Linked DNA regions of Caenorhabditis elegans. The protein of the gene in region 1 purifies or fractionates together with the protein of each later gene. This does not show direct contact. Each region holds a gene or a part of one and is shown in the gene's direction. Other genes may lie near its edges. The genes, in order: tyms-1, mam-3 and rnh-2.

Region 1 (10,204 bases):
ACATTCGGACAGCCTAGAGTTGGAAATCTCGAATATGCCATGACACATGACAAATTAGTTGCTGGAGGAAGCTGGAGACTGATTCATGGAAGAGATATTGTGAGGGAGACTAATATTTAAGATTTTTTTAATGCTTTATTAGGCTCAAAATGCACCCAAATGAGCGAATTTCGTAATGAAACTTCTCAAACAAGTTCGAAATTTTTTTCTGGCGGTTCAAAATATCCTCTTTCAAAAGACTATTAAAAGTTTTTTTTCTAGGTTGCACATATTCCGTTCTGCGTGGAAAGCTATGCCAGATGGTGTATACCATTCTACAATCATGGATCCTATCACCATGGAGTCGAAGTCTGGTTTCCTGGAAACATGACAAGTCAAGATACGTTCAAAGTTTGCACCGGGACTCCATTGAACGAGGACAATTTGTGCAGGCAAGTGACAGTGATCGAAATCACGTGATAAGAAAATCTTCTCTTACAGCAACACTCATCGCTACTTTGACATCAACGATCACCTGTTCTACTTTGGACACCACGTCTCAGATTACGGTGTTAATGGATGTGTAGACCCACCGGATGATGAACCATTAATAAATAATGAAAATGTTTAAATAAATTTAAAAATGTTGATTGAATTGCGATTCTTTTTCTCGTCGTTTCAACTGTTGAAAAGTCGGTTTGAGAGAATATTCTCGCTTCCGTGTGTCACGTATATTTTCTCAGGACTTTCTTTTTATTGGAGAGAGAGAGGAGGCGCCAAAGAAGATAAGACACCCGCGAACTCGAGTGTAAGAAGAAACAAGGGAGGAGAAGAGAGAAAGAAAGGGATGGTTGAACACAGAAAATGAATTGTTGGTTATTTTTCTTTTCGTTTTCGGTTTCCTACTTTATTGTTATGGAAGATTGTGTCTACTTTCTTCCCATTCATAACACGAACCTTCTTTCTTTCTTTCTCTCTATCATTGCCTGTTTTTCTTTCTCTCCGGCGCAATAATATTATTATTGATTTCTTAATATTTGATTAAAATGATAAGCCTTTGTCTTCGGAATCATTTTGATAAGAGACGATATCATTTCGGCTAGAAATGTTGCAGGAGAACGAGATGCCTGGGCCAGCCGGCGTACCGCAGCGCAAAATGACGTATTTCGTGCCGAAGAGTGGTCAGTTTACTTTAAAAGAGGACTTACCATTTTTTTTTGCTCTTTTAGACTCGAAATGTGCCCAAATGAGCGAAATTTAAAAAGATAGTTTATTTCACATAATTTCAATTAAAATTGATTTCCGTCCGTTTCGACATGGAAAATTTGGCAAAATTGAAGATTTTAGCTAAAATCAAATAGCCCATTTTTTTTCGAAATTTTGAGCCGTTTTGGACGCATTTTGAGTTGAAAAAGTGCATAAAATTGATCGATTAGCCCTATTTTATTTTCATTCCACATTGTCTTCTCAAAAATCTCAATTTTCAGACAACTCAAACGAGCAGGTTCGAGTTCCAAACGTCATCGCACTTGTCGGACTGCCGGCACGTGGCAAAACATACATCTCACACAAACTGTGTCGTTACCTCAACTGGATTGGAATTAAGACCAAAGGTTGGTCCTGATTCGATTATATGTACGACATGAAACAAAAAATCAAAATTACAGCATTCAATGTCGGCGAGTACAGAAGAAGAGCGTGTAATTTGGAAGAAGAAGGCGAAAATGAGTTCTTCTCGCCAAACAACGCCAGAGGTCAAAAGATCCGAGAGTGAGATTTTACGAAACTATGAAGAAAAAAAATTAAAAAAATTCCTGAATTTTCAGTGAGTGCGCGAAATTAGCCATTGAAGATATGGGAAGGTACTTGGATAACAAGGAAGGAGAAGTGGCGGTGAGTTACAAAGGAAAAAATTTCAAAAAAATATATAGACATAAACTTTTTATTCAGATTCTCGACGCGACAAATACTACAAGAGACCGACGAAAGCTTCTGATGGAGTTTTGCAGAAATATGATGCACGAGCCACCATTCCGTGTCTTCTTTGTGGAATCTGTTTGTGATGATCCTGATATTATCAACTCGAATATCACGGTAACCTTTAGATCTTCAAAATAATCACCTTAACCCGCATATTTTCAGGAAGTGAAAATCAATTCGCCAGATTATAAAGGAATAATGTCTCAAGAGGAAGCAAAAGAAGACTTTTTGAAGCGTATCGAGAACTATCGAATGCAATATGAGCCACTTGATGAGGATCATGATGAAGAGCTGAGCTATATCAAAGTTATCAATGCCGGAAAATCCTTCTATGTTCACAATGTTAATGGTCATGTGCAGAGTCGTGTTGTGTATTTCCTGATGAATATTCATCTTCTTCCAAGAAGTATTTATTTGTCAAGAGTAAGTTTAACAAAAAAACCGAAAAAATTTTGCGCTAAAAATAGGTAACAGGTCTCGACGCGAAAATTTTTATTAAATGCCAAAAAGTGTGCGTCTTTACAAACTACTGTAGTTTCATTTTTTTTGCTGCCGAGTTTTCATTGAGTTTCAGTTTTCTCACGATTTGCTGTAAAAACGTTTTTATTTTTTATTTCACTTTTTGATAAATTAATATTTTTTTACCAAACAAGCTAAGAGAGCCCGTAAAAAAACTTGAATTTTAACAAATCGTGAAAAAAAAAGAAAATCAATGAAAATTCCGCAGCAACGAGAGTTTGAAATTACAGTATTCTTTAAAGGTGATGCCTTTTTTCATTTAACAAAAATGTCGTGTCAAGACCGGACACCGGTTTTTTTGGCACAAAATTCCGTTTCTGGGATATAATTCATTCAATTAACAGCACTGAGAATTATCAAGTATTTTTAAACTTTTATAGTTTAAAAATCCCTTTAAAAAATTTATTACAGCATGGAGAAAGTGAGTACAACAGAATTGGTCGTCTTGGTGGTGATTCCCCACTCAGTGAAAATGGTTTAAATTACGCTGGAAAACTTCGCGAATACTTCGAAAAAGAAGATTTGGACGATTTCCGTGTTTGGTCATCTCAAAAGATTCGTGCCGCCCAGACAGCTTCTCATCTGAAAGATCTCGCTGGTCATACAGAGTTCTGGAAATGTCTTGATGAAATCGATGCCGGAATATGTGAAGGATTAACTTATGAAGATTTCGAGGCTCGTTATCCGAAACAATTCGCTGAAAGAGATAAGGATAAATATCACTACCGTTATCCAAGTGGGGAATCATATGAAGATCTGGTTGCTCGTCTGGAGCCAGTTATCATGGAGCTTGAGAGACAATCCAATGTCCTTGTCATTTCTCATCAAGCAGTTCTCCGTTGCATTCTTGCCTATTTTACTAACAAAAATCGAGATGATCTTCCATATCTGAAGGTTCCATTGCATACAGTCATCAAGCTCACACCAAAAGCCTATTCCTGTGAGATTGAACTTTTCAAATTCGACATCGAAGCAGTCAATACTTACAGAGAGAAGCCACAATAGGAAGTATTTATTCTTTATCTAGCCAATTATCTATGCCAAATGTACATTTATTTTTTCATACAAGTTCCCATTTTTATGTCGGGCGTTTTTTTTGAGATTGCATTTTCCCTGTTTTTGAACAATTGCCTTTGAATTTAAATACGTTGTCGTTTATGTGAGAGTTATAAAGATTACATCGATTTCAATTTTATGGACTGATTGCAATATTTCTCGCTGTGTCATTTTCTACAATAATCTATTTTTAATGTATTAAACGGTCAGGAGCCACATTAAAAATTTAAAAGAAAACCAAACAAGAACGCGTAACTGAGTTGTTGTTATTTTAAAAGAAAAATCAATTCATATAAAAATTAATCCTTAAAGGCGCAGAGATTTATTCAGATGGGTCCCGACGCGCAAAAAAGTTTATGGTAATTGTGTTTGAATTTTTGCGGCTGCTTCCTCGTTTATTTTTCTTGCATTTTTCAATTTATTAAGGGAATTTTGTCGTTGTTTAAAACCATTGTATGAAAAAAACACAGGAAATCCCACATTTTTAATGGAAGTAGTTTATTTGTACTTTGAAAACTGATTTTAAACATATTCTGACAGAAAAGTGAAAAGAAAACGACATCTGAATAAATCCATGCGGTTTTAAAAAGGATTGCCAAAATATTGTGAAGTTACGATAAAAACAAAGCTGAAGCAAGTTGTATTTATTTTCTGCACATACCTGCGTCTCTTAGTGGCCTTCTTCTCTCTCTCTCTCTCTCTTTCCCAATAATCGTTCCACTATTCGGCTTTCAAACATTCTCATACACTTTCAAAAATCAATTTACAGGAAAATTGATCGAAATGTCAATATCAATGGATGACAGAGGGAACAATAGTGGAGAAGTTGGAGAATGTGAGTCATCACGAACTATTTCGTTATGAAATTTCGTTATTTGAATTCAATTTATTTTATCATTTCAGTTGCCAGTTCATCAATGATACAAGAATCAATAGATCTCAAATTGTTAGCCGCAGAAAGTCTTATTTGGACAGGTTGGAATTGATTTTTTAACAATTATAATGTGAGGAATTACAGAGAAAAATGTGACATACTTCGGACCACTTGGAAAATTTCCAGGTAAAATCGTAATTACTAGGTATCGAATGGTTTTTCTCGTTGGTGATGGTGGAAAAATGTATGAGGTTTGTGATTAAAATTTTAAAATTATATTTTACAAATATAAACAAAAAATTTCAGCAATGGAAGCTCGATATTCCACTCGGACAAGTGTCTCGGATAGAAAAAGTTGGTAGAAAGACGACGAGTGTTGCCAAACGAGGCGATGATAATTATGGATTCACAATTTATTGTAAAGATTATCGAGTTTATCGATTTACATGTAATCCAGCATCGAGTGATAGAAAAAATGTTTGCGATTCGTTGAATAGATACGCTTTTCCGCTATCGCATAATTTGGTGAGTTTTTTTTTTAATTTTAATAGGGGGCTTTTGGCTCTAGAACTATTGGAAATGAAAAAAAATTCTGATATTTTTTTTTAATTTACGAAAAAATAAAATTAATTATTCATTTATTGGTTAGCAAAAAAATTAAAGTTAAAAAAACACGGTATCGTAATTTCACAAGTTTTCGCCTTAGAAAGCCGCACGGATTTCTTCAAATGGGTCTCGGCACGCAAAAAGTTTATTGTGTAGATTTTAAACAATCAATGATTTATTAAAAACTTACTTGACAACCAAGAAATAGACAGCCTAACTTGAAAAACAACATTATTCAACCAAAAAAGGAAATTTTCAGCCAATGTTCGCCTCTGTACATGCAGCAGAAACACCTAGACTTATGAAAGATGGTTGGAAAATTTATTCAGCTGAAAAAGAATATGAACGCCTTGGAATCCCGAATTCACGTCTTTGGAAAGAAGTGGACATTAATAAAGACTATAAATTTAGCGAAACTTATCCAAGAACTGTAGGTTAATGATGGTTTTCTTTTTTAAAAATAATTTTATTTCAGTTTGTAATTCCGACAGTATCTTGGGAGGAAGGAAAACCATTTGTAAAGAAGCTCGGCGAGTTTAGAAGCAAAGAAAGAATTCCCGTGTTGAGTTGGATTAATCAGACAACTTTAGCTTCAATTTCACGATGCTCACAGCCAATGACTGGAATTTCTGGAAAAAGAAGTGCTGAGGACGAGCGGTAGGTTTTATTTTTATTTTTAATGATAATAAAAAATAATCGGAATATTAATATTCTAATATGCTGAAATGTCACAAAAGAAAAACGAAAAAAAATATTTGGAAAATCGTTTATTAAGATATATTTTTTAAAGCATTCAATTTTTCAACAAAAAATTATATTTTTCAGACATCTCACGAACATTATGAATGCCAATGCTAATTGTCGTGAACTTCTGATCCTTGATGCAAGACCAGCAGTCAATGCAAAACTTAATAAGGCAAAAGGTGGAGGTTATGAAGAGAATTATGTCAATGCTCCTCTAACATTCCTCAATATTCACAATATTCACGTTGTTCGGGATTCATTAAAACGATTGCTAGCCGCGCTGATTCCACGTGTCGACGAGAAGGGATACTACAAAGCGTTAGACGAATCGAAATGGCTCAATCATGTTCAGAGCATTTTGGAAGGAGCAGTAAAAGCTGTCTTCAATGTTGACACTGAAAAACAATCAGTATTGATTCATTGTTCTGATGGTTGGGATCGAACTGCACAGCTGACGTCGTTGGCAATGATTCAACTCGACTCCTATTACCGTACAATTGAAGGATTTATCGTTTTGATTGAGAAGGAATGGTGTAGCTTTGGTCATAAATTTGGAGAGAGAATCGGTTCGTTTTTGATAGATTTTAAAAATCATGCAATTAAAGTTGCAGTAGCGTGAATGAGGATTTTGCTTTTTTTAAAAATCCATTCAGAAAATTTTTAAAAAAATCAAAAAAATTGCGAAAAAAAATCCAACTTAAAAAACTAGATTTTTCAGTTCTGGCGAAGTTCCCAGTTCTCATCTTGGGGAAAATTCAAACAGGAAACTTACTAGGGAACACGATAACTATAAGTTATACTTATAGTTATCGTGTTCCCTAGTTAGTCAAAATTGATAAATCGAATTTTTTAAAATTTGAATTTTTCATCCGTTCGCAATTTTATTTCGTTTTTCTGTTGTGGTATTTCTGAATTTGAGAAAAATTTGGAATTTTTTGAAGCTAACAACTATAAAAAATATTATTTGAGAACCAAAAATCTTTGATTTTATACTTTCCGTTCAGGTCACGGCGACGATAACTACAGCGATGGAGAACGATCTCCCGTATTTGTTCAATTCTGTGACTGCCTATGGCAAATTATGCGACAATTTCCATGGGCATTTGAATTTACACAAGAACTGCTAATTTGTATGCTCGATGAGCTCTACGCTTGCAGATATGGAACATTTTTGTACAATTCCGAAAAAATCCGGCTGAAGGATAAGGTTGTTTTCATGAAGATTTTTTCAATTTTTTTTTTTTCAACTTTTCAGAAATGCGATGAAACGACGATATCGTTCTGGTCCTATGTTTTGGAAAATAAAAAGAAATTCAGAAATCCAATGTTTAAGCATGGAAGTTAGTTTTCTGTTAAACTAATATTAAATCTCAAAATTTTAACTTTCAGAATCCAATAAAGTGATAAACGTAAACCCATCTCTCTGCGGTTTACATGTATGGATTGATTACTACGCCCGATCGAATCCATATGTAGTTACTCCAAATCATGAGGTAAACAGCAGTTCCGCTAGAAAATGATAATGAATTAATTAGAAGTTTTAGGATGTTCAACAGCCAGGCGCACAGTTTGTCGACGAGAAAAAGCAATTGTTGGATGAGATTATGGCTCTTGACGACGCTGCTCAAAAATTGACCGCCTAGTTATTTTAATTATGCTCAGTTATTCAATTTTGTTGTTAGACTTTTAAAAATTTAATTTAGAACTTTTCACTGTGATTTCATTTTGCTTTCTTTATGTGCATTGTACAATATTATATGAAAATAATTCATCTTTAAATATTATTTAATTAAATACAACAGCTGTTAAAATTAAATACAACAGCATAATAAAGAATAGACTGTTAACAGTCTATTCTTTATTATTCAAATTCAAATTTGCCGCCATTATCGTTGCTGACGTTTTTCCAGGGAGCGCGCGAAACACATGCAATTTTCAAATAGGAAAAACAATTGATCCAGTATTTTTCCTTCCTTGCTTTGATTTTATTGCTTCAGACTTATTATTCCGATCTTAAAAGTCAAATTAATTGATTAAATTCTTTAAAAAAGTAATTCATTTTCAGATGGAAGTCATGAACAAAGAAAATATCATCGCCGATGCGCCTTCTGATGTCGTAAAAACCGTTCAACAGCAAGTTCACTTGAATCAAGATGAATATAAATATTTGAAGCAAGTTGAGCAAATTTTGAGAGAAGGAACACGAAGAGATGATCGCACTGGGACTGGAACTATTTCGATTTTTGGAATGCAATCGAAATACTGTTTGAGAAATGGTAACGCTTTCGATTTTCCATTTTAAAAATTAATACTTTTATAGGCACAATTCCGTTGCTTACCACGAAACGTGTCTATTGGAAGGGAGTTCTCGAGGAATTACTTTGGTTTATTTCTGGATCGACCGATGGAAAGCTTTTGATGGAGAAAAATGTGAAGATTTGGGAGAAAAACGGCGATCGCGCGTTCCTTGACAATCTCGGATTTACGTCTCGTGAAGAAGGAGATCTTGGACCAGTTTATGGATTTCAATGGAGACACTTTGGGGCGAAATATGTGGATTGTCATACAGATTACTCTGGACAAGGTGTTGATCAGTTGGCTGAAGTTATCCGACAGATTAAGGAGCAACCGGATAGTCGAAGAATCATTATGTCCGCGTGGAATCCGTCGGATCTTGGACAAATGGTTCTGCCACCGTGTCACACAATGTGTCAGTTCTATGTGGACAATGGAGAGCTCTCGTGTCAGCTTTACCAACGAAGTGGAGATATGGTGAGCAAAAATTTCAATGTAGTAAATTACATATTTTACTAGAAGTTAAATTTCAGGGTCTCGGAGTTCCATTCAACCTTGCCAGCTACGGCCTTCTCACCCACATGATTGCAAAAGTGTGTGGATTGAAACCAGGAACCCTTGTTCATACTCTCGGAGATGCTCATGTCTACTCAAATCATGTGGATGCTCTCAAAATTCAACTGGACCGTGAGCCATACGCTTTCCCCAAAATTCGATTCACGCGAGACGTGGCCTCAATCGATGATTTCACTTCTGATATGATTGCCCTGGATGACTACAAGTGTCATCCAAAAATCCCAATGGATATGGCTGTTTGATTTATTTTGATGTAACATTTTAACACTCATCTAATTGTTTTCAGTTTTATGAAAATAAACATTGCAAGGCTTCTATATACACTACGCATATCAAAAACATTACAATAGAATTTTTCCACATTATTCAAGAGAAAAAAAAACTTGTCAATAGGTTAGAGCCCCAACAGGAAATCGAATCAGTCATATTTTTTTCTATATGCGTGTTGTTTCTTTCGCTCTCCCACTCCTTCTTTTTCAATTTCATCTTCCATCTACAAAACCGATTTGTTCAATCATCTTTTCGCTCATCATAACCGAGCCAACTCACAGCTCATCCATCAACTATTTGTGCTGTCCTGCCAATGTCTGTCAGTTTGTCAGGTGTCCAAGTGCTAAAATTTGTCCTTGTGGTTTTGAAGAATGTTGTGAAAAAAAGTCGAATTTAATGAATCACACAACTTTGCGAGTGATACAAGTTTTTCGTTGACCGTATACCCGGCGCGTGTTTTCTCAAAAACAAGTGGTCCAACTTTTTGTAAAGTCAGATGACAGTGACAACAGAATATTCTAATATTTTTTGGACCAAAGTATTTTTTCCTTTCTTTGGCCGTGTACATAAGACAACCTCGTCTACCGTACTCTCCAAGTAGACTACAGTACTCGCGACTGCGCCTTTACAGCTTTTTTCATGTGAACCTACTGATTTTTAAAACGAAGTTCTTTTATACAATGATCGAAATTTCCTATGCGGACGCGGCCTAGATTTGAATTTCGAAATTCAAGTGAATTTTGCTGTCTCCAAAAATTCAAAAAGAGTCGAGTAAAAGGAGGAGGGGAACAATGAAAAGAAGCCAAAAATGAACAAAAAAGTGAAAAAGAGGGGGGGAGAGGGAGACATTCTGTCTCCTGGAAAAGATCGAGCGTCCCTCTTTTCTTTTCTTTTCTCAAAGTCATTTTCAAGAGAGGAAGAAGAGCTCTTTTCTCGTATTCTCTCAATATTTCACAAACTATGCGTCGTTTCTCCTGTGCTCCTCAGTCATCCTTGGAGCACACAACGGGGGGCTCAACTCTTCTCGGCACCACCGGAGCGGGGACTAGAGAGGGAGAGAGACATGGGGACTATGATAAAAAAGAGTCAGAGAGAGAGATGGAGAGAAACTCGGGAAACGAGAGATTCAGTCAACAATCAACATGGAGAGAAAGACGGAGAGAAAGAGATGGAACGTAAAGCAAGGGACCCACACAACTATGCAAGAAGGAGAAGAAGAAAGAAGTACTTCAATATTCCGTCTTCTCTCTATCTTGCTGCGTTTCTTTGTTTATCTCAAACACTAACACCCTCTCTCGTTTTTTT
Region 2 (10,301 bases), on another chromosome or scaffold:
TCGACACGACAAATTTATGTTGTCTGCGAAAATGCGTGCGCCTTTAAAGATTTCTGTAATTTTAAACTTTCGAGAATAATTATAATTTGAAATTACAAGAATAATTTGAAATTACAGTACTCTTTAAAGGCGCACACCTTTTTGCATTTAGCAAAAGTTGATCGTGTCGAGACCAAAAGTGGCGGTTTTTCAATTTTTTTTACAAAATCGAAATACGAAAGATTTTCGATTTTTTTCGCTTTTTCCAAAAATATATTAAAATTTTAGTCATTTATCTCCTTTTTAGAAGAAATGTTTATATTTTTCACATCAACATAAACAAAATTAGACAAAAAATCGAATTTTATTGTTACTTTTCTGAATATTTTTTTCGATTTTTTTTTGTAAATTATAAATTCAAATTTTCCAGATTTGTCGCTCGCCTCGGAAAAATCCTGCACACATTTCTCTATGGAAACGAAGAAACTGAAGATATCGAAGTAACTGAATGGGCGAAACAACGGACAGCTAACGTTATTTTCTTGCTTCAAATCATTCGTACACTTGTTAGTCCAGATAACACCAGTGAAAATACCCACGCAGCTCAGAAAGTCTTGAATCAAACGAAAATTCTCGAGGAGCTGTGCAGAGTTCTTCTATCGGAAATTGGAGCATCTGTGGAGGTTTGTGTTCGAAATGGCCCGAAAAGAACAAATTTCATAACGAAACCGGTGTCTCAGCGGCCGGAAATTGACTTTTATTAGATTTATTAGTTGCAATTAAAACTCAAAAAACTAAAACTAAGTTTAATTTTTTTAAAGTGGTTTTACAATACAAAGTGTTAAAACGTATGTTTTTTCTCGTTATTTCATTGATTTAGGTACATTTAAATACCTATTACTTGAAATGTACCTTAATCAACGAAATAACGAGAAAAAACATATGTTTTTACACTTTGTATTGTAAAATTACTTTTTTTTGATCTAAAACTTAGTTTTTTGAGTCAATTTCAACAAAAATAAACTGCAAGAAAATTGGCAAACTTCGAGATTTTCAAAATTTTAAACCGTCATAACTTTTCTTTGAGAAAATTTTAGAATTTCTAATTACGGAATTTGGGACAAATAAAGTACTTAAATCTCTAATTTCGGTACTACTTACCCTTTAAAATTAAAATTTTTTTTTCAGATTCTTACCGAATCAATAATCGTCGTGGCTGAAGCTATTCGTGGAAACTACACAAATCAAGAATTATTCGCGAATACTGTACTTGACAACGGAGAAGATGTTCCACGTACCTCTCTTGTGGTTCTTCTCATCTCAATGACCGCCGAAAAACAGCCGTACAAGCTGCGATGCGCTGTATTCTACTGCTTTTTGTCATATCTTTTTGACAATGAATTCGGAAAAGCAAGAGTAATTGAGACGTTGCTTCCTCAATCTCATAACAGCTCGAGCTCTTTGACTACTGGAGCTCTCATTTTACAAGCAATTTCTTCGGCTGAATCTGTTCAGGCATGGTTCGGATGTGTGACTCTTATGCATTGTCTGTATGATGTTGATCATTTGAGGTGAACACGTATATCTTTTAAAAAGTCGAATTCTCAAAAAAAAATGTTCAAACATTTCCTAATGGCATGTCACATTTAGTGGTTTTCTACGCGTTTTTATGAGAATCTATTATTTAAATACATTTTCAGTCGATAGGTCCAAATTCGGACTGAAAATATACTCAAAGGAAATCTGAGAAATATTTTTAAATGACTTCAAATTTTCTCCTAATTCCGAATATCTATATGAAAAAATTCGAAAAAATTTCTCTTATTTTATATTTCAGCGTGAAATCGCGATTTTCATTTGCGTCCCCATGAGATTCTTCAAAAAGGCCGAATTTTCGAGTCAGAGACGCCGTGTGTCGATTTACGAGATTTGTGTATATTTACGAGAGTTTCAATTTTTATTGGATGCTGATTTCCGTTTTACAACCGGGTTTCCTTCATTTTCGTCGGTTTTAGTTTTTTTTTTGTTGAAAATGTGTTTTTTGAGGTTAATTAAACGTTATATAATCAAAAAACTAACAACATTTTTGATTTTCAGTCAGGAAAAGCATATATTTGGATTTTCCGTCGAGTTGTTACCAGCATTGGAAATTTTGTTAGTATTTTGATAATATATGTTTAATTGACTTTGGAAAACACATTTTCAAAAAAAAACTGGCAAAACTAAAGGAAACTCGTCGAAAAACCTGAAATCATTATCCAATAAAGATTGAAAATCTGGTAAATCGACACATGACGTCTCTGGCGCCAAAATTCGGCGTTTGAAAAGTCTCATTTAGGCGCAATTGAAAATCACGCTTTCAAGCTGAAATATAAAATCAGGGAAATTTTTTTGGAATTGTTCATTCAAATATTCGGAATCAGCGGAAATTTGAAGTAATTTAAAAATATTTTTGAGATTTCGGTACTGCACCTTTAAATTCATAAAAAAAATTAACTATAAGAATTGAATTTCCCAACAAAAAAAATTCACCGTTGTTTTTTTCAGCGAGCAACTTCTTCGAGTAAACCTCACCGTAGTCACAGAGGATCCTCCATTGACACTTTTAAATCATGTCTGCCAACTACTTGTTTCTACTGGAAATCGCCGACCACAGACCAGAGCCGGACTCCTGATGCTCCTGGGAACGTGGCTTCAAAATTGCCCAGCCGCAGTTTCCGATTTTATGGCTAAAGACGAGCATATACAGTATTTGACAACTAATTTAGGTGGGAACGGTTATTCAATTTTAAATAATTTTCAAAAGTTTAAGTGGATGAATGTGGTGAAGGATCGGAGAGTGAGCAGCAGGTTCTACGAGGACTCATGGCTTTTGTTCTACTATCGTGCTTGAAGAATTTACAAAGTAAGGAAGCACGATCATCGATGGAAATATTGATTCAAAGACGTGTTGGAAAGGAATTGATTCTGTCCGCATTGGAGGGACTTTCAAGAACCGAGCAATTTGTTAGAGCAGCACAAAAGCAGCAGCCGACAAATGAGCTTTTCCTCGATTTCCACTTTGTTAAACTTTTCAAATCTCTCGAAGGAACGTTGGCTAAGCAATTGAAACCGAATGGAGAATTTAATGGAACTAGCAATGATAGCATCATTCAATCATATAAAGAACTCATAAAACGGCAAGATGGTGATATTGCCCAATTGAAGCAAGACAATAAGCGAATGAGTCTTGAGATTGAGAAATTAAATGCAGAAGTTCAGAATAAGCAAATGGAACGAGAAGTTGAGAATCTTCGTGTGAGATTAGAAGAATCTGAAGCATTTAAAACTCAAAATGAAGTGCTGAATAGTCAGCTAGTAGAGTCACAGAGACTCACACAACAATGGTATGCAGAAGCCGAACGATACAAGCAATGGGCTCAACAATGGCAAGCCTATCAGTTGGCACAGCTTCCGAATGGTGTAGAGACGGGATTGGCTCAGCTTCAGCAACAAGTCAACGAGTTGGAGCAGCAACTCGGATTTGGATATCAGGCATTCGAACAGCAATCACAAACGGTATGGTAGACAGGAGATTTTATCAGAAAATCGAAAAATCGAAAATTTTCGTTTTTTCGAAAAAAAAATTTGTCGATTTTTCAAAAATTAGCTTAAAATTTTGGTCAGGGTTCTTCTTTTTTTGATGAAAATATTTATTTTTTTTCTCATCAATAAAACAAAAATTTGATTTTGTAAAATCATATTTTGTGGTTAATTTTCGGAAATTTTTTTCGATTTTCCGGAAAATCGAAAAATCGAAAAATGACACAATTGGATCAAAAAACTAAACATTTAAATCTGCGAAAATCAAAAAAAACCAAAAAACAATTCGATGCTTAAATTTATTCGAAAAATTTTTTTTCGGCTTCCGTTTGGTCTAAAATAAAAAAAATAACCAAAAAAAAATAAAATAACCATAAAAATAAAATTTACATATTTCAGATGCTCCACTATACATCAGAGAATGCAAATCTTAAAGATAGACTCGCGAAAACGGAAGCTGCTCTCGCTGAAGCCAATTATAAAATTGAGCAATTGAATTTGAAGCCAATTTCGAATGGAATAGTTGTGGAGCACGAACCACAGGTAGAATTCGAGTGGAATTTTCGAAATTTCAGGAATTTCTAGAAAAAACACTGAAAAAGTATAATTTTATTGGAAAAGATGGAAAATCTTACCAAAATTATCGATTTTTTCATTAAAAAATCGAAAAAATGTGTAAAATTTCAGTTTTTCGAAACCTTGATTTTTTAACAGATTTCTTTTTTTTAAGAAGGAAAAAATATATATATATATAAAAATAGTTATATATTTGAGGTTAATTTGAGCAAAACTTGATAAAATTTCAATTTTTTTTTTGAAAAAAGCTGAAAAAATAATAAAAAATTCTAAAAATATCAAACACTTAAAATATAATTTTTCTATGAAAAAATTAATTATTTCGTTTTTCAAAAAACTACTTTTAAATTTTGGTTCGATTTTTTCTGAAGAAATTATTTTTTGCTACAGATTTTTCATCCACTTTTTCATTTTTTTTTCAATTTTCTCTGGAAAAAAACTAAAATAAAAACGTTTCGATGAGTAGCTTTTGAGCTTTATCTCAGTGAAAATAATTCAAACATTTCAAATTTTCAGGCTGACTCCGAAGAGTTTTCAAAACTGAAACAAGAACAAGAAGAACTTCTGATGCTTCTCGCTGATCAACACAATAAAATGTCAGCCTACCGACGCCTTCTTCGAAACCTAAAACAGCCAGTGACAGATGATGAGGACGAGTAATAAGGCTGTGGGATTACTAAAAATCGGGTTTCTTTTTTGTTTTCTTTGGGGGGTCAATCTTGTCATAGAACATGTAATACTTCCAATCAACTTTTCTTTTTTTAAATCGAATAGGTTTCCTGTATAATATTTAATTTATAACGCATACACCGTACTTTCGCAGGATTTTTTAAGTGTCTTCTTAAAGGCGCACAGGTTTTTTTCAGATATGTTTCGGCTTTCTTGTTTTTTTTTCTCAAACTGATTTAAAACAATTTTTAACTTATGTGATAAATGCAAAGAAAATAAACAAAATTAAATACCATAAAAATTTTTTTGGGCTCGCCGAGACCCATAAAACCGTGCGCCTTTAAGAAGACATCTCAGAGATCTTGTAAATCTACGATATCGTATTCGCCGTGATTTTGCTGGCAAAATATTTTCTTCCTGTTTTTTTTGTATCCCTACCTACTCTTTCCATTTCGTTCAAACCACACTGTCTTCTGTGATACCGAAATTATGTTTTTTTTTTCCTTTCAATTTTATTTATGTAAAACTTAATAGTAAATATGGTCCAAATAAATTATTGATTGATTCCGAAATCCATCATTCTCTCTCTCAGGTTGAATGGGGATTCGGTGAATGATCAAATGATATAACGAACCCGTCTATTCTCCATATCAATAGTGATTCGGAAGCCGGTTCGTTCCTCTCGCCTGCTTCTCCTGGCCCGCGCATCTGCCATTGTTCTTCGCCTGTACACACCCTTTTTGCCTCTCGAAAATAATGATCTGGAAGAAATTTGCACTTTTGCTCATTTTTCTACCATCTCTAGAAGCATGTCATGCTCAATTTCAAAAAGAGCTTCGATATTTAGACTTGTATCTTGGTATTAGGCCAGATAATAATGGAGAGATTCCTGTGGAAGGTTGGTTTTTTGGTTTTTTGAAGGAATTTACTGTTTTTTGCTCCGAACGAAAAAAGTCTAAATTTTCGATTTTTTGGAAAAATTCAATTTTTTTTCAATAATTTATGGCCACATCCCGATTTTTTAAAAATGTTTTTTTCAACATTTTCCAGTTTTTTTTGGATTTACTCTGAATTTTGACGAGATTTTTTTTTCCAAAAATTTAAGCTTTATCGGAAATTTACTTGATTTTGTAGTTCCTTATTAAAGGCGCACGGAATTAAAAGTTCGCGGTAGTTTAATTTTTATTTAAACTTTGAAAACTGATTGTCAACGATTTATTACAGCTGAAAACCATGTGATTTCATTGAAAAAAAATACAATACTACATCCAATGAACAAATAAAACTACCATAAACTTTTTTGCGCGCCGAGGCCCGTCTGAATAATTCCGTGAGCTTTTAATGAAGTACTTCAAAATCTACAGTAGTACAGTAGTAGTAAAATTACGGTATTTTATCCAGATTTCGCTAATATTTCGCTAATTTCTGTAACAAAAGTATGTAACAACAATAAATCAGCCGATTTTTACTTTCATAAAAAATCTGGTTTTAGATTCGTTCTTAAAAATTAGTGATAAATAAGCAATTTTAATGTGAAGTGTTTTTTTGTTTTTAAACAGCTAAAATTATCAAACCACGAGGATCTGCAAAAAAAAACCACAATCACGTGGATTTCAGAGGCCGTTGGATTTGCCACGTATATTGAGTCACCTGATGAACTCAACTGTGACTTTGAGACCGAATGTCTTTGGAGAAATGCGCCGACTGATAAGCTTTTGGATACCAGTGATTGGTGGTATTTTAAGGTTTGTTATTCATGAAAAACTTTCCTTCAAATGTCTTGTGCCATTCTATTCTTTTTTTGGAATATAAAACCTTTTCTGAGTGGGTCTTGTCACGATCTCAGTTATAGATTTCGCTGAATACAAACTTTGAATGTGGTATAATTGTTCAATTAGAAATAAAAATGTATGTGAAATTCCATATCCTACGCTATATGTAGGCCAGGGTATAATATACAATATTTAGCTTTCAGTTTTGAGACGAATAATATGTAAAAGATACCAACTAATTTTGGCAACTAATTGGTTTTATGAACTAGTTTTAACTGAAAGTTTCAAAAAAAAAACATTTCAAAAACTCGATTGAAAGTGGCAACATTTCGAGAATTTATTCAGACAATTCAATTATACAGTTCAACTTTAGAACCATTGGAAAGTTCACCAAAAATTATAGAAAAAATTTGGAACGCTTCACGAATTTGCGTGTCATCCTTGCGCAGGGGCCATGCTAATCTTCTCTGTATTGTTCCAATTTTAGTATATGTTCTCGGAAGAACGAACAGTTAGATTTACATTTCAATTATATAGGGACCATTTACACAGCAGCTGACATATTTGGAGTTATGTAAGACACTATGACTATGCTAGGGAAGTGGAGATGCAAATCGATATTGGTATCGCTATAGAATAGGTGCACAAATTATTGATCTACATCTACATTTGGTATAGTGTCTTACATAACTCCAAATATGCCAGCTGCATTGTTAATGGTCCCTATATAATTGAAATGTAAATCTAAATGTTTGTTCTTCCGAGAACATATACTAAAATTGGAACAATACAGAGAAGATTAGCATGGCCCCTGCGCAAGGATGACACGCAAATTCGTGAAGCGTTCCAAATTTTTTGACGATTTTGTTAGACAAATCTATAAATTCTATACTTACAATTTTTCAAAACTTTTTTAAAAAATTAAACAATTTCAGAAAAATGACGAGAAAACTTTCCCAGTTCAAATCCAGCCCGGAAATCCTGTAATTCCAAAAGGCGAACATTTTATAATTGCTGGAAATACGACGAAAAATCCGAATGGAGCAGTGTTGAGCAGTGCTCCAATTGCTTGTCAAAAAGGATTTGCCAACTTGACTTTCAGGTATTGTCAAAGATAATTTTAAGAATTTTAAGCACAAAGTTGGAGGGCCTAAATTTTTTTTGAAATAAAATGTGTTTGCTCTTCTTTGAAAGCTTAGATCTCTACTGTCTTTGCATTTTTTTTAATATGTAAAAAACGAACTAAGCGTTCTTCTATGATTCAATAGTTTGAAAAATGCTGATATAAAAAAAAAAAATCGAAATTTTTAGTAATCTTTATATGACGCACAATTTCTCGTTTTTACTACAAAAATATTGCTATTTAATATTTTCATATTAGATTTGAGTTGCCTGAGTAAAAGCTCACAAAGTATGCGATCGGCAAAATACTGTGCTCTAACTAACATAGATTCCAAAATAAAATTATAATCCCAGTTATATCCTTCTAGCTTCTGGCTATACAACAATGCTCAAGTGGAAGTTATCATCCTTCGAGCAATGAATCGTAGACGTCATCTTCAAGTCTTGCTCAGACCAAAAATGAAGTGTGATTTCTTGGGAGCCGCCAATGAGGAATGTCGTGTCGAGATTCCGCCGATTAAGGAACCGTTCAGAATTGGAATTCGAGCATTTGATCTCAAAGATAATACTGTTGGAAGTTTGGCAATCATTGATCATATCAGATATCACGGAAAGATTTGCCAGCAATCACGTAAGTTTTAAAGTTATTCGAGATATGAAGCAGTCAAAATCAAATTGGCGCGCAAAAAAAACGATATTTTTAATCCTTTTTTAAAAGATTTTGTTCTGTAAATTTTTCAAAATAAAACTAGATTTGTTAGAGAAGTTTTAAACTTTCACTGAACATCCAGAAAAATCCAATGCCTCACTCTTCATAATCTAACAAAATATCTCAATCACTCCCATTTTACCTAAAATTAATTATTCCAGCATTCCCATCATCATTCTCATCTCTTCGTATTCCTCCATATGATAATAGTCCACTTCAAAGAATGTCTGATTTGAGTTGTGAACGCCCGCTACGATCCTGTCGATGGGGAAATATGGCCAAATCTCAATTAAGTGAATGGAGAGTTGGTAGATCAATTGATCGATGGGTTGATATGTTTGAGGTTTGTTTTAATTAAATCTTGGAAATAAGATAATTTTTTAAACAACATTTTGAAGCATTGATATCTTCAAGCGAAATATGGGATCGAACCACTAAAGTTAATTACCGTATTTCCTCTATTATGGGGTTATTCAAGTAGTGTCGGAAAATTAAAAAGTGTAGAAAAATTACGTCACACATGTATTCAAGTAAATAAAAACATGTATTTAAATACATTTGTGACGTCACAAATGTATTTAAATACATTTCGCTACATTACTTGAATAACCCCATTAGTACTTCACCCCATTGTTCAACTTTCACAGCTTATATCTCAGTCATCGTTTGTCCTATTAAAAAATTGTCAACTAACAAAATATTTTTTAACTTTATTTCTATCATTTCGTAGTTAATAATACATTGATATCTTCAAAATGAACCGAGTTCAAAGTTAAGTAGTGGGGTGCAATACTAATAGAGGGAATACGGTAAAAACAAATTTTCGTCAGTATGTCAATAATTTAAAACCCATCCAAAGTGCAGAAAAGTGATGAAAAATGAGTTGTATGAAGCATTAGACAGGTATTCATCTCTATGAAGTGGCCTTTTTAACTGTTTGTTAAAAAATAATTGGGCAATCCACACGTTTTGAAAATTTCAACAGCTGAATACTCTCGGCCGACAAACTTTCTTCATACGTTCTTGGAATATTTCCAAAACTTCTACTAATAAAACTTTTGACTTCTTCTATTTAAATGTTTTGCAACAATATAGGCTTATTTGGCAGCTTCAGAAGTTTCAATCCGGAGACTTGCCAAAGTTGGCTGAAACAATGAACTCAAAAAATTTGGAATTTTGAAATTAAGAAGGATTATAAAAATTGTTCTATGTATAAATACACCTTTTCTTGAAACTTAATAATGGGGTTATTCAAGTAGTGTCGGAAAATTAAAAAGTGTAGAAAAATTACACGTCACAACCTTATTCAAGTATATAAAAACATGTATTTAAATACATTTTGCTACATTACTTGAATAACCCCATAAGTTGATGATAAAAATGGGCATCAAACAGGGATATCTAGTAAAATCGTCAAAAAATTTGGAACGCTTCACGAATTTGCGTGTCATCCTTGCGCAGGGGCCATGCTAATCTTCTCTGTATTGTTCCAATTTTAGTATATGTTCTCGGAAGAACAAACATCTAGATTTACATTTCAATTATATAGGGACCATTTACACAGCAGCTGACATATTTGGAGTTATGTAAGACACTATGACTATGCTAGGGAAGTGGAGATGCAAATCGATATTGGTATCGCTATAGCATAGGTGCACAAATTATTGATCTACGTCTCCATTTGGTATAGTGTCTTACAGGACTCTCAATATGTCAGCTGCATGGTAAATGGTCCCTATATAATTGAAATGTAAATCTAAATGTTTGTTCTTCCGAGAACATATACTAAAATTGGAACAATACAGAGAAGATTAGCATGGCCCCTGCGCAAGGATGACACGCAAATTCGTGAAGCGTTCCAAATTTTTTCAATAATATTTCATAAATCTAGC
Region 3 (9,977 bases), on another chromosome or scaffold:
AAGTCGTTCATCAGAATACGAGATCTTTCTGCGCCTTTGCACAAGGAGTCCATTTTAGGTTTTTTTGGTGAGGGAGTTCGTTTTTTTAATTCTGTGACGTAGGGGGGTTAGTGAGATATTTTCAAAAAGCACAATATATTGTCTAGGGACCTTGTTTCGAATATCAAGAAATATTGGAAAAAAGTGTAAATTGAGTGGCACTACACGGCAGAAGTTACAACCAGTGAAGACATCCAGAATTGAGCACAAATTTATTATCTGCTTATGGAAAAACTTCTGAAAAAAATTATCTATATACATATTACGTGAACAAAACTCAATGATAAAACTGACTTGGAGCTCAATGGCGATTTTTTCTTGTGTGAGTTTCGAATTAAAAAGCTGCCAATAAAACTTAACGAAGATTTGGAACTTAACTTCTGTATTTTAATTTCTTTTCACATATTGAATTTTTTACTAGTTTTCAGCCAGTTTTCATTTCTCGTTTTCCAATACAAGCCAGTTTGAAATGAGTCATCACATTCGGAATGTTCAATATCACCTGCTCTCTGGTTAAACTTGACAACAAGAGTATTTCTAAATTCAGTAAGTCAACAACATTCTGTTAACTCGATGAACAATATAAAGGAGGGCTAATTTCATTTTTATTGCCACACAAAGGATGACCTCGAAAAACTTTCCGCAAATCTTGCAGAAAGTCATTTGAATGACCATTAATTTTGAAAATTGCGTTCTTTGTTTTCTTGGTTTCCCGAAACAGTTATTATAACGGTTTGAATGTCTTATTTATCTGTAGTCTAACTTCAGAGCAAGTAACTGGTCCTGTTGGCGTACTTACCGGCCGAAACCTGCCTTGAAAGCTGGCTTGTTTTGCAATAAAGAAGGCTTTCCGGGTCAAGTCGCTTTCTTATCAATGATTAGACAATTTCGGTTTTTCAGTTTTCAGAACAGGCGGAATTGTTTCTCTGATTAATCTTTATGTTTTTTTTAAGTCGGTTTATTCAAATTCTCAACTTCAAGTTTACATCTATTTCTGTCTTTTGTGCTTTATCCCACTTCACACAAATTATCAAGACGAGCCTGTTAGACTAGACTAATTGTCCGGGAAAAATAAACGGAAAGAAACAAAGTCTCATGTGTGTATTTGTGTTCAGCAGGAGGGAATAGATTCGTAGTGAAAGGAGAGTGCAGGCAAAGACAGTATTTGCTCCTTTCCGCCACAACACCCGACAGTCCTTTGCTTCCCGAAGAGAATCGATCGGAGAATTACTAGAGTCTCATGTTTTTCGTTTAAATTGTGTTTTATAAACGCAAAATTTTGATTTTTTGTAAATTTCCAAAGTAAGGAATTTTCCCTGTTGATGTGATCGTTGTTTCGCTTATATTTAGCGAAAAAAAATACTGTGGAATAATATGGCAGATTCTCCATGCATCACTTGTTTTTGAAATGCATAGAATTAACCTAAAACTCTGAATTTTCCAACTTATCTCAAAATTGATAGAAATAGTCAGGAATTTTGGTTGTATAGTTGTTTTTTGGTAGTAAATTTCCTTTCCGTATTGTTATCTTTCAAAATTACAGAAAATTAAATTATCAAAAATCAAACAGCTTAATTTTAAAGAAGATCAGTCCAAATGCTGATCATTAAATAAAATGTAAAATTGTTACTTCCAAGACAATTTGGAGCAGTTTATGATAATTTTGAAGAAAATGTAGATGTTGAAATTATAATATAGTGAAATATAAAACATCTGATATCCTCGTGTTTTCAATGTCCCATCTTAATTATCAATTTTGATTTAAAAAATTATTGGCTTAAATTTCAGAAACAAAGTGACAAATTTCCAAAAAAAAGGTTTCGAAACATGTTCATAACTTATTCTCCGTCTCTTCCAGGCATACTTTCCTCTCTTATCGTTACTATAATATTATTCTTTCTCTCCCCCTCATTCTCTCTCGAAACATTTCTCTTTGGTAGGTGGAGACCGCCCGTTCTCAAATGGCTTCTTTTTGTCTATGTCTCTCTTTATCCTGTAATATTCAAATTTTGGTTGTCAAGGATTCTCCATTTTGAAGAATAAGCCGATTTTCTATTCGGATTTCAAAAAAAAGTTTGGTTTTCTTTTTTCTTTTTTCTTTTTTCTTTTTTGTTTTTCGTGAAACGGGGCCGAGCAAAGGCTAACTATGCATTTTAAGAAGACATTTCAACGAATAAAATTTATTTGAAAATTTAAATGGGATTATTCTCTCGAATGAAATCCAAGGAAAATGATGGTAAATTGCTTTCCATTTTTATTTTGATAATTGTACTATGTCCTTCATCATCAGTTTTTCGTCGTACAAGTTATCAATTATATGGAAAACTGTACGATGCCAACTAAAAACAAATGGTGGCATTTTTTTGATAAATGTTTTTCTTCAAATGCTTAGTATAAGTTTACCGTTGACTTTGTAACACTTTTTAAAAAGTTAATAATTAAAAAAAGATCAATGCAGAAGGACTCCAGCTAAACTACAACATTTTAGATTTTCATAAACCCGTTTTGGCAAACTGCCAAAATTTTGAACAATTTTGACTTGTTGAGAAATTAAGAGATTAAGCATTGTTGCAAGTTCAAAAATTAATACATAATTTTAGTAAAAAAAAAGTGCACATGTGCAAAAATTAATTTAAAAATGCGAGCTCAACTTATATATATATATATACAAAATTCTAGTTTCAAAATTTTGAGATTTGAAATGTACCTTTGATTCTCAAAAATAAAATTGGAATTTTAGTTTCAAATTAATGAAGATGAAGTCTTTCAAAATAGTGCATAGTTTATCTGCAGAGAATGAAAACATTATACTTTTAGTAGTTTTTTCACTGAAACATCTTATCACCAAATGAATTGTGTGCTCATTTAGTACACACAACGATTTTTTCGTGAAACTGTGCATTATGCTCTGTGTCAATTGATTCTTCTTAAAATGAAATCAAACGGCTAAAAATGTAGTCATGTGTTATTCGATATTTGTATCCTCTTTGATTTTCGATAAAGTTCGGTTCGCCCCGGGCGCCGTGATAAAATTTGTCATTTTACATATTCTCATTGATAACAATTATATATTTCTAACTTTTTATTATTCTCTCACACCAGCTTCTAGCAAAAAAAATGAAATTGACCAAAAAACGATTGTCAGGTGAAAGGATGTCTACAAGTACTGGAGAAATTACTGAAAGTGATCGTAAGCTTCTCGATGAACTCAGAAAAAGGATTCATAAAGAATTAGAATTAGTGAAAGAATATGATGATGATTTTTCACTTATGAGATGGTTAATCGGATGGGATCGAAAAATTGGTAAGACTTTTTGGAATATTGTTTAAACTGTAAATGTTTTTTTTATGAATTTTATGATGGTTTTGAAATATTTCGAAAAAATTGTAAAATGAAATAGATATATTTTCAGATGTTGTGGTTCCAAAAATCAAGTTCTCACTTCGTGCCATTCATGCACTTGGACTTGACCAAGAAGATCTCTCAACACTGGAAAAAGTGGCACAAAAATGTGATGATTGTAGTGTTCCACTTCGATACCTTCCTGGATCTTTAATCGGATTGGATCATGAGAATAATGTGGTCTCTCTTCAAATGATTGGACATCTTGACGCAGCCGGTCTCATGCCAGCCACAAGAAATTCGGATTTATACAGAATGAGAATTGCTGAAAGTGAAGGAGTCATGCAAATTATCAGGTATGCGTAGTTCAAGATAACGTCACTCTAGTCTGTGTGGCAAAAGTGATTGGAATACTGTTTACTCTGTGACTTATATGATAGCGGAAGAGAAAAATTGAAAAATAGAACACTGATATCGAATACCCGAAAATTATATTTTGTCCAGAGATTAAGAAACATTAGTTGCGAAATAAGATGTAGACTACTGTAATAATAATGAAAAATTAGAACTTATACTTTCAGAAAAATGGAAAAAGAGCAAGGAAAACCATTGGGAACATCTGTCATTTTCGATCTTGACGGACTTTCAATGGTTCAAATTGATTTGGCTGCTTTGAAGGTTGTGACTACCATGCTCTCGCAGCTTCAGGTACATTTTCCAGATTAGTCGTATTAAAAATTGAATTGTTTAATTTCAGGAGATGTTTCCTGATGTAATTCGTAAGATATTTATTGTTAATACACCAACATTTATTCAAGTACTCTGGAGTATGATCTCGCCATGTCTTGCCAAGCAAACTCAACAGAAAGTCAAGATTTTGGGAAACGATTGGAAACAACATTTGAAGGAGAATATTGGAGAAGAAGTGCTATTTGAAAGATGGGGTGGAACTAGAAAGGCTGAAACTGAATATGGAAATGTTCGAATGGGTGGCAAGATTCCTGCTGAATTGAAGTAATTTTGCAGAGGAAAATTTATTTGAAAAATAATCCTGTTTTTTAGGTATGACCCGGCCAACGATCTTCCAGCTGAGAAGCTTACCAAACTCAACGTTTCTGCTCGTTCGACAACATTTGTTCCCATTACTCTCGAAGGAAATGTACCAGGAAGAAAACTTTATTGGTGGTGGAGGCTGGAGAATAACGATATCAATTTCTCGATTCTTCGAGCAGCAGAAGGTGAAGAGAAAGTTGCAGAGCATGACGATGACTACATGGTGCATCCAAAATTCAAACTTCAAACAGACTTCGTTCCGGAAGATGGAGAAGTGTGTGCTGCGGAGCCTGGAGTATATAAATTCGTATTTGATAATACTCATAGCAAATTAAGATCTAAAACTGTCAAATATTTTATTGAGGTGCGGAATCCTTGAGGAACCGGTACACACTAGAAAATCGTATTTATTGTAATGTATACTTTCATAACCTATTAAAACGTTTATTTTATCCATCAGCTTATTTGTTGTATTTGCTTTTTAATTTCTGATTTTTCAAAATCATTCGAACGACGTCATAAAGTGCTAGTGATAGCTAATTATACGTTTGAAAGTTTTTCTGTGCATATAAATATGTGGGGTACAGTAATATTGTCCAAGTGTTGTTCGCGACCGAATTTTCCTAGTTATTGTCAATAGAGCGTATCTGCATACCATAAAGAAAAAGCTCGGCCGCATCACAATTTGAATTTTATTTCCACGATTTTTATTTATTTTATGTCATTATTCACTTCAATGTCTTTTTTTCTTGAATTAACCTTCAAAATGTATTATATGAATAGATATTTATTTTTTTTACAATATTTGTTCTCTCAGAGAATGTCACTGAAGTGTGAAACTGAACGAAGCAAAACGTGGAACAATTTCGGGAATGGTATTCCGTGCGTTTTGGGCATTGATGAAGCTGGAAGAGGTTTGTGGAAAATAATAGTCAATAATTGATAATTCAGTAATCTAATATATCCAAATTTTAGGTCCAGTGCTCGGTCCTATGGTCTACGCAGCAGCGATTTCCCCACTTGATCAAAATGTAGAGTTGAAAAATCTTGGTGTCGACGATTCAAAAGCGTTGAACGAGGCGAAACGTGAAGAAATCTTCAACAAGATGAATGAAGACGAAGACATCCAACAGATCATAGCATATGCTCTCAGATGTCTTTCCCCTGAATTGATCAGTTGCTCAATGCTCAAAAGACAAAAGTATTCGTTGAATGAAGTATCCCATGAAGCTGCGATCACTTTGATTCGAGATGCGCTAGCTTGCAATGTGAATGTAGTGGAGGTTTCCTGAAAATATATACAAGCTAAATATAAGGTATACTATTTTTCAGATCAAAGTGGACACAGTTGGCCCGAAAGCAACTTATCAAGCCAAACTCGAGAAATTATTTCCCGGAATTTCAATTTGCGTGACTGAAAAAGCTGATTCACTTTTTCCTATCGTCAGTGCAGCTTCCATTGCCGCCAAAGTCACGAGAGACTCGCGTTTGAGAAATTGGCAATTTAGAGAGAAAAATATTAAAGTTCCAGATGCTGGATATGGAAGTGGATATCCTGGAGGTCTTTTTATTTTATGAATAGTATATTTTATTATTTTTCTTTCAGATCCAAACACAAAGAAGTTCCTTCAATTAAGTGTGGAACCAGTTTTCGGCTTCTGCTCACTCGTTCGATCATCCTGGAAAACAGCCAGTACTATCGTTGAGAAGAGATGTGTTCCAGGCAGTTGGGAAGATGACGAGGAAGAAGGGAAATCACAAAGCAAAAGAATGACTTCATGGATGGTTCCGAAAAATGAAACAGAAGTTGTACCAAAAAGAAATGTGTACTTCAAGGAAAGACATATGAGCAATATTCTAACTTTTTGAATTATAACGAAATACTTACATTTTTCAATATCACCATTCATTTTTATTTTACCATTTTCTTTAACGCGTTTCTGATCTCCTCATATCTCCCTCTAAATATTTCATCACTTTGGTTGTATACCTCAATTTACTTGTAGTATATTCATTTTCTCTTACTTTTTCTGGTGAACTTTTCTTAGATACTCATTGAATAAATTTTGAAATTCTCCGATTTGTATTTAATGAAAGTATCATGAAATTCCGTTTTCACCGGATATTAATATTTGGATGAATCTCTCAAAAATTCTTTCAAAAAGTGATTTTTCCAGATGGAGATAAACCTGACAAAAATTGTGAGCACACTGTTCCTCAGTTTCATGTTCTACAACTTTTTTCAACTTTATAAGCTTTTCACTCCGGAGTTATGTACAGATCAGGATTCTGACGAATTGTGCTATTCGGTAAATTTTTCGATTGAGGCAAAACTATAATAACATTTTATAGCCAATTGTTCAACCCAACCACGAAGGATTGTACGATTTACTACAGCTTCGAGTCTATTTTTCAACGAAAAGAGATGCATTGGAGACACTTATCACGACTGTTGAAAACTTGCAAGTTGCCGATGCCTTCCAGAAAGATGTAATTTTCTAAAATATAGAATAACCTCATTTTATATTTTATTTTCAGCTTCAAGTGAAGATTCCGTCTTCGGTTGCTAAAGATGGCTACCTATATGCACATACAATTTTACTTCCACATAAATTTGATGGTCGTAATCCGATGCAAGCTTCATGGAAAGTGCACGTAGCGGCTCCTATGGTAGTTTTTCAAGAGCCAGTGGCCAAGACTTTCCAACTCTTAGGAGATGAAGAAGTCAAAGAAAAAGTCGATGAAAAACCGAAAAAGTCCAAGTCAAAAGTTGTTGAACTGGCCGCACATTTCCGAACAATTCTGCCGGTACGAATTGTATCTGAACCGAACCGATACGTAAAGACCAAAGTCAGTGGAGAATTGGCGTAAGTTCAATAAATATTTTATGAAAATATATGTTCGTTTTCAGTGACTTTCTGACGATTCAACGGCAGGATAAAAAAGAAGGATACCTTCCAATCATGTTTGTGGATGAAATGAGTATGAGAAGCAAGCATCTCTATGAACTCGCCGACTTCCAAAAGTCTGTAAACTTGACCATTAACTACGAACCAACAAGCGTTGCCAAGCTGCTTCTGCTCACCTCAACAGCTCGTTCGACCCACCAGCTCATGAAACATGGATTTAAAGATAAGGATGTTGATGAGCTTCGTGGACTTTTCACTGAAACCTCAATTGTTCTTTTGATGGTTACTTTCTTCGTATCTACATTACATTTGCTATTTGATGCATTAGCTTTCAAAAATGATATTTCATTTTGGAAGGGAAGAAAATCAATGGTCGGACTATCTACAAAGTATGAATAGCACATGTTTCCATTTTATGATTATTTTTCAGAACTCTCCTATGGCGATGCTTCTCTCAAACAATAATTTTCTTCTATCTTTTCGATCAACAAACATCATTACTTGTTCTGATTCCTGCTGGAATTGCTACAGTAATCGAATACTGGAAAGTCACCATAGCCTACAAAGTTACAATAACTTGGAAAGGAATCAAATTCGGAAAACACTCAACAGAAGAAGACGAAACTGATTCCATCGACTCGCAAGCCATGAAGTACCTGTCGATTCTTTTAGTTCCACTTGTTATTGGTGGAGCTATCTATAGCTTACTTTACGTTCCTCATAAATCATGGCGATCATGGATTCTGGAAACATCTGCTAATGGAGTTTATGCTTTTGGCTTCTTGTTTATGTTACCACAATTGTTTGTCAATTACAAGTTAAAGAGTGTGGCACATCTTCCATGGAGAGCTTTCATGTACAAGGTAACTTAAAATTACAAAATATTCATATCGAGATCTATCTAATTTACAGGCATTCAATACGTTTATTGATGACTTGTTTGCATTTGTCATAACCATGCCAACTGCTCATCGTATGGCCTGCTTCAGGTAAGAAACTTTCAGAGAGGAAGATATTATAATAATTTTGTATCAGAGACGATATTGTGTTCCTTGTATATCTCTACCAAAGATGGCTGTATCCAGTTGATTACACCAGAATCAACGAATTCGGAGAAGGTGGTGATGAGAAAGAAAAGAAAAACAAAGAGAAGCTGGAGCCTGAAGTTGAAGAGAAGAGCAATACCACAGAACAAGATGAATCGGGAACCATCAAGCGGAGAACTGCTAGAAAAACCTAAAATAGTCTCAGATTTTAAAGTATTAAAACCATCTAGACTTTAACTGTAACCGTAACTTATACAGTCTTTTTAAAACCAAAATTTCTACAAACTTGTTTTTATTTTAATAATTATAATGTGTTTATTTATTTGTTTGCCATTACTGGTTCAATTTGTTGTTCGTGTGATTTCTGCTGAATTGGAAGCCTCGCTTCCCTCAATAAACGAAGTAGATCATGATTCTCGCGGGACAACCAATAAGAAAGAGCCGTCCTTTTTCGTAAATGGACACGAAACGGACTTGTTTGAAGGCGCATTGCTTTTTGCTTTTCACACCTTATTTGAGCGCGTGTAAATACAAGAAATGTGAGAAATAGTGTGAGAACTTGTATAAACGCAGGAATACAGTGTAGAGATTGAAAAGCTCCTTGAGAAATGGAACTTGACTTCATTTTTGTCCGCGTAGCCAATGAGATTCGTGATGTGGATGTGGCTGTTCGTTGTGTGGATTACTGTACTTTTTGGAGGTATGCAAATTTATCGAACTTCCAGATATTTGCAGATTTATTATAAACTTCATTTCGAAGTTTAGATAAAAATTGGTAACAAATTAAAACAGTTATGTATATTTCATACTTATTTTGGTATTAACGGGTTGTCGGAGTCTTCATCGTAGCCAATAATGTAATAGCAAATGGTAGAAATGTGACGTCACAGGCGTACTTATATTTTAATTAGGTACACAACTCTGAAACATAAAACAGTATCTAAAAATTAGTTTTAATCGCTAAGGTCACAAAGAAATTTGATATTTAAAAAATTTCAGTGTCCAATGGTGGAATCCTAGACCGATCTTGTGGAAGACGAAGAGTTGGTTATATTACATCGTGGGGCAAACATCCATTTAGAGATGATCAGGTATTTTTATAAACTTTTCAGTTAACACTTTCAAATTAAGGCTGAAAAGCTGACACACTTAGTTTTCGCCTTCTTCGTCGTCGATTCAGATGGAAGTGTCAAGTTGGAAGGAGATGCTGCAAAAGCAAGATTGGAACATGTTAAAGAGGTATTGTCAAAAACTATTTAAAAGTTATAGGTTTTTAAAATGATATTTGATATCTTAGGTTGCATCTCGTCATCCAGATCTCAAGCTTTTGTACGCTGTTGGAGGCTGGGAAAACTCTCAATATTTTTCCGTTTTAACTGCAGATCACTCTAGAAGGTGTGTCAAAGGCGTGATCTAGAAAACACATAAAATTTCAGATCAATTTTAATCTCGAACTTTGTCAAAGTTATTAAAGAGTACGGTTTTGACGGTGTTGATATTGACTGGGAATATCCCGTAACAGGCGGTGCTGTTGAGGGTACTCCAGCTGATCGAAGGAATTATGTAAACTTGATGAGAGAACTTCGA

Evidence for each region.
Region 2: the proteins of tyms-1 (region 1) and mam-3 fractionate together in Caenorhabditis elegans (co-fractionation; one large-scale study listed by BioGRID). This does not show direct contact.
Region 3: the proteins of tyms-1 (region 1) and rnh-2 fractionate together in Caenorhabditis elegans (co-fractionation; one large-scale study listed by BioGRID). This does not show direct contact.

Annotation. Positions count from the first base shown.
Region 1 is NC_003279.8:5,130,438-5,140,641, forward strand, and holds tyms-1 (Thymidylate synthase), read left to right. Parts: upstream 1-7,812; 5' UTR 7,813-7,832; coding exon 7,833-8,034; intron 8,035-8,078; coding exon 8,079-8,530; intron 8,531-8,586; coding exon 8,587-8,871; 3' UTR 8,872-8,945; downstream 8,946-10,204. Other genes in the region: Y110A7A.7 (Fungal lipase-type domain-containing protein), read left to right, coding at 1-99, 262-431, 481-610; pfkb-1.1 (6-phosphofructo-2-kinase domain-containing protein), read left to right, coding at 1,103-1,160, 1,467-1,592, 1,647-1,749, 1,806-1,872, 1,930-2,073, 2,122-2,382, 2,890-3,483; Phosphatidylinositol-3,5-bisphosphate 3-phosphatase mtm-1, read left to right, coding at 4,330-4,369, 4,438-4,509, 4,553-4,659, 4,715-4,933, 5,274-5,444, 5,490-5,671, 5,840-6,324, 6,763-6,965 and 3 more.
Region 2 is NC_003282.8:13,440,528-13,450,828, reverse strand, and holds the start of mam-3 (MAM domain-containing protein), read left to right. Parts: upstream 1-5,453; 5' UTR 5,454-5,562; coding exon 5,563-5,704; intron 5,705-6,423; coding exon 6,424-6,551; intron 6,552-6,982; exon of another isoform or gene 6,983-7,084; intron 7,085-7,327; exon of another isoform or gene 7,328-7,445; intron 7,446-7,513; coding exon 7,514-7,680; intron 7,681-8,068; coding exon 8,069-8,331; intron 8,332-8,570; coding exon 8,571-8,752; intron 8,753-9,825; exon of another isoform or gene 9,826-9,927; intron 9,928-10,170; exon of another isoform or gene 10,171-10,283; intron 10,284-10,301. Other genes in the region: uso-1 (Uso1_p115_head domain-containing protein), read left to right, coding at 410-662, 1,168-1,550, 2,527-2,747, 2,792-3,537, 3,961-4,104, 4,654-4,797.
Region 3 is NC_003280.10:8,511,898-8,521,874, forward strand, and holds rnh-2 (Ribonuclease H2 subunit A), read left to right. Parts: upstream 1-5,252; 5' UTR 5,253-5,255; coding exon 5,256-5,349; intron 5,350-5,410; coding exon 5,411-5,718; intron 5,719-5,767; coding exon 5,768-5,996; intron 5,997-6,041; coding exon 6,042-6,304; 3' UTR 6,305-6,510; downstream 6,511-9,977. Other genes in the region: ctg-2 (CRAL-TRIO domain-containing protein), read left to right, coding at 3,157-3,343, 3,453-3,738, 3,964-4,090, 4,140-4,396, 4,445-4,814; T13H5.8 (Lipid scramblase CLPTM1L), read left to right, coding at 6,613-6,744, 6,788-6,925, 6,974-7,302, 7,347-7,733, 7,775-8,207, 8,257-8,333, 8,380-8,584; cht-2 (GH18 domain-containing protein), read left to right, coding at 9,033-9,090, 9,390-9,481, 9,522-9,629, 9,688-9,785, 9,827-9,977. UniProt on the Caenorhabditis elegans protein: Catalytic subunit of RNase HII, an endonuclease that specifically degrades the RNA of RNA:DNA hybrids. Participates in DNA replication, possibly by mediating the removal of lagging-strand Okazaki fragment RNA primers during DNA replication.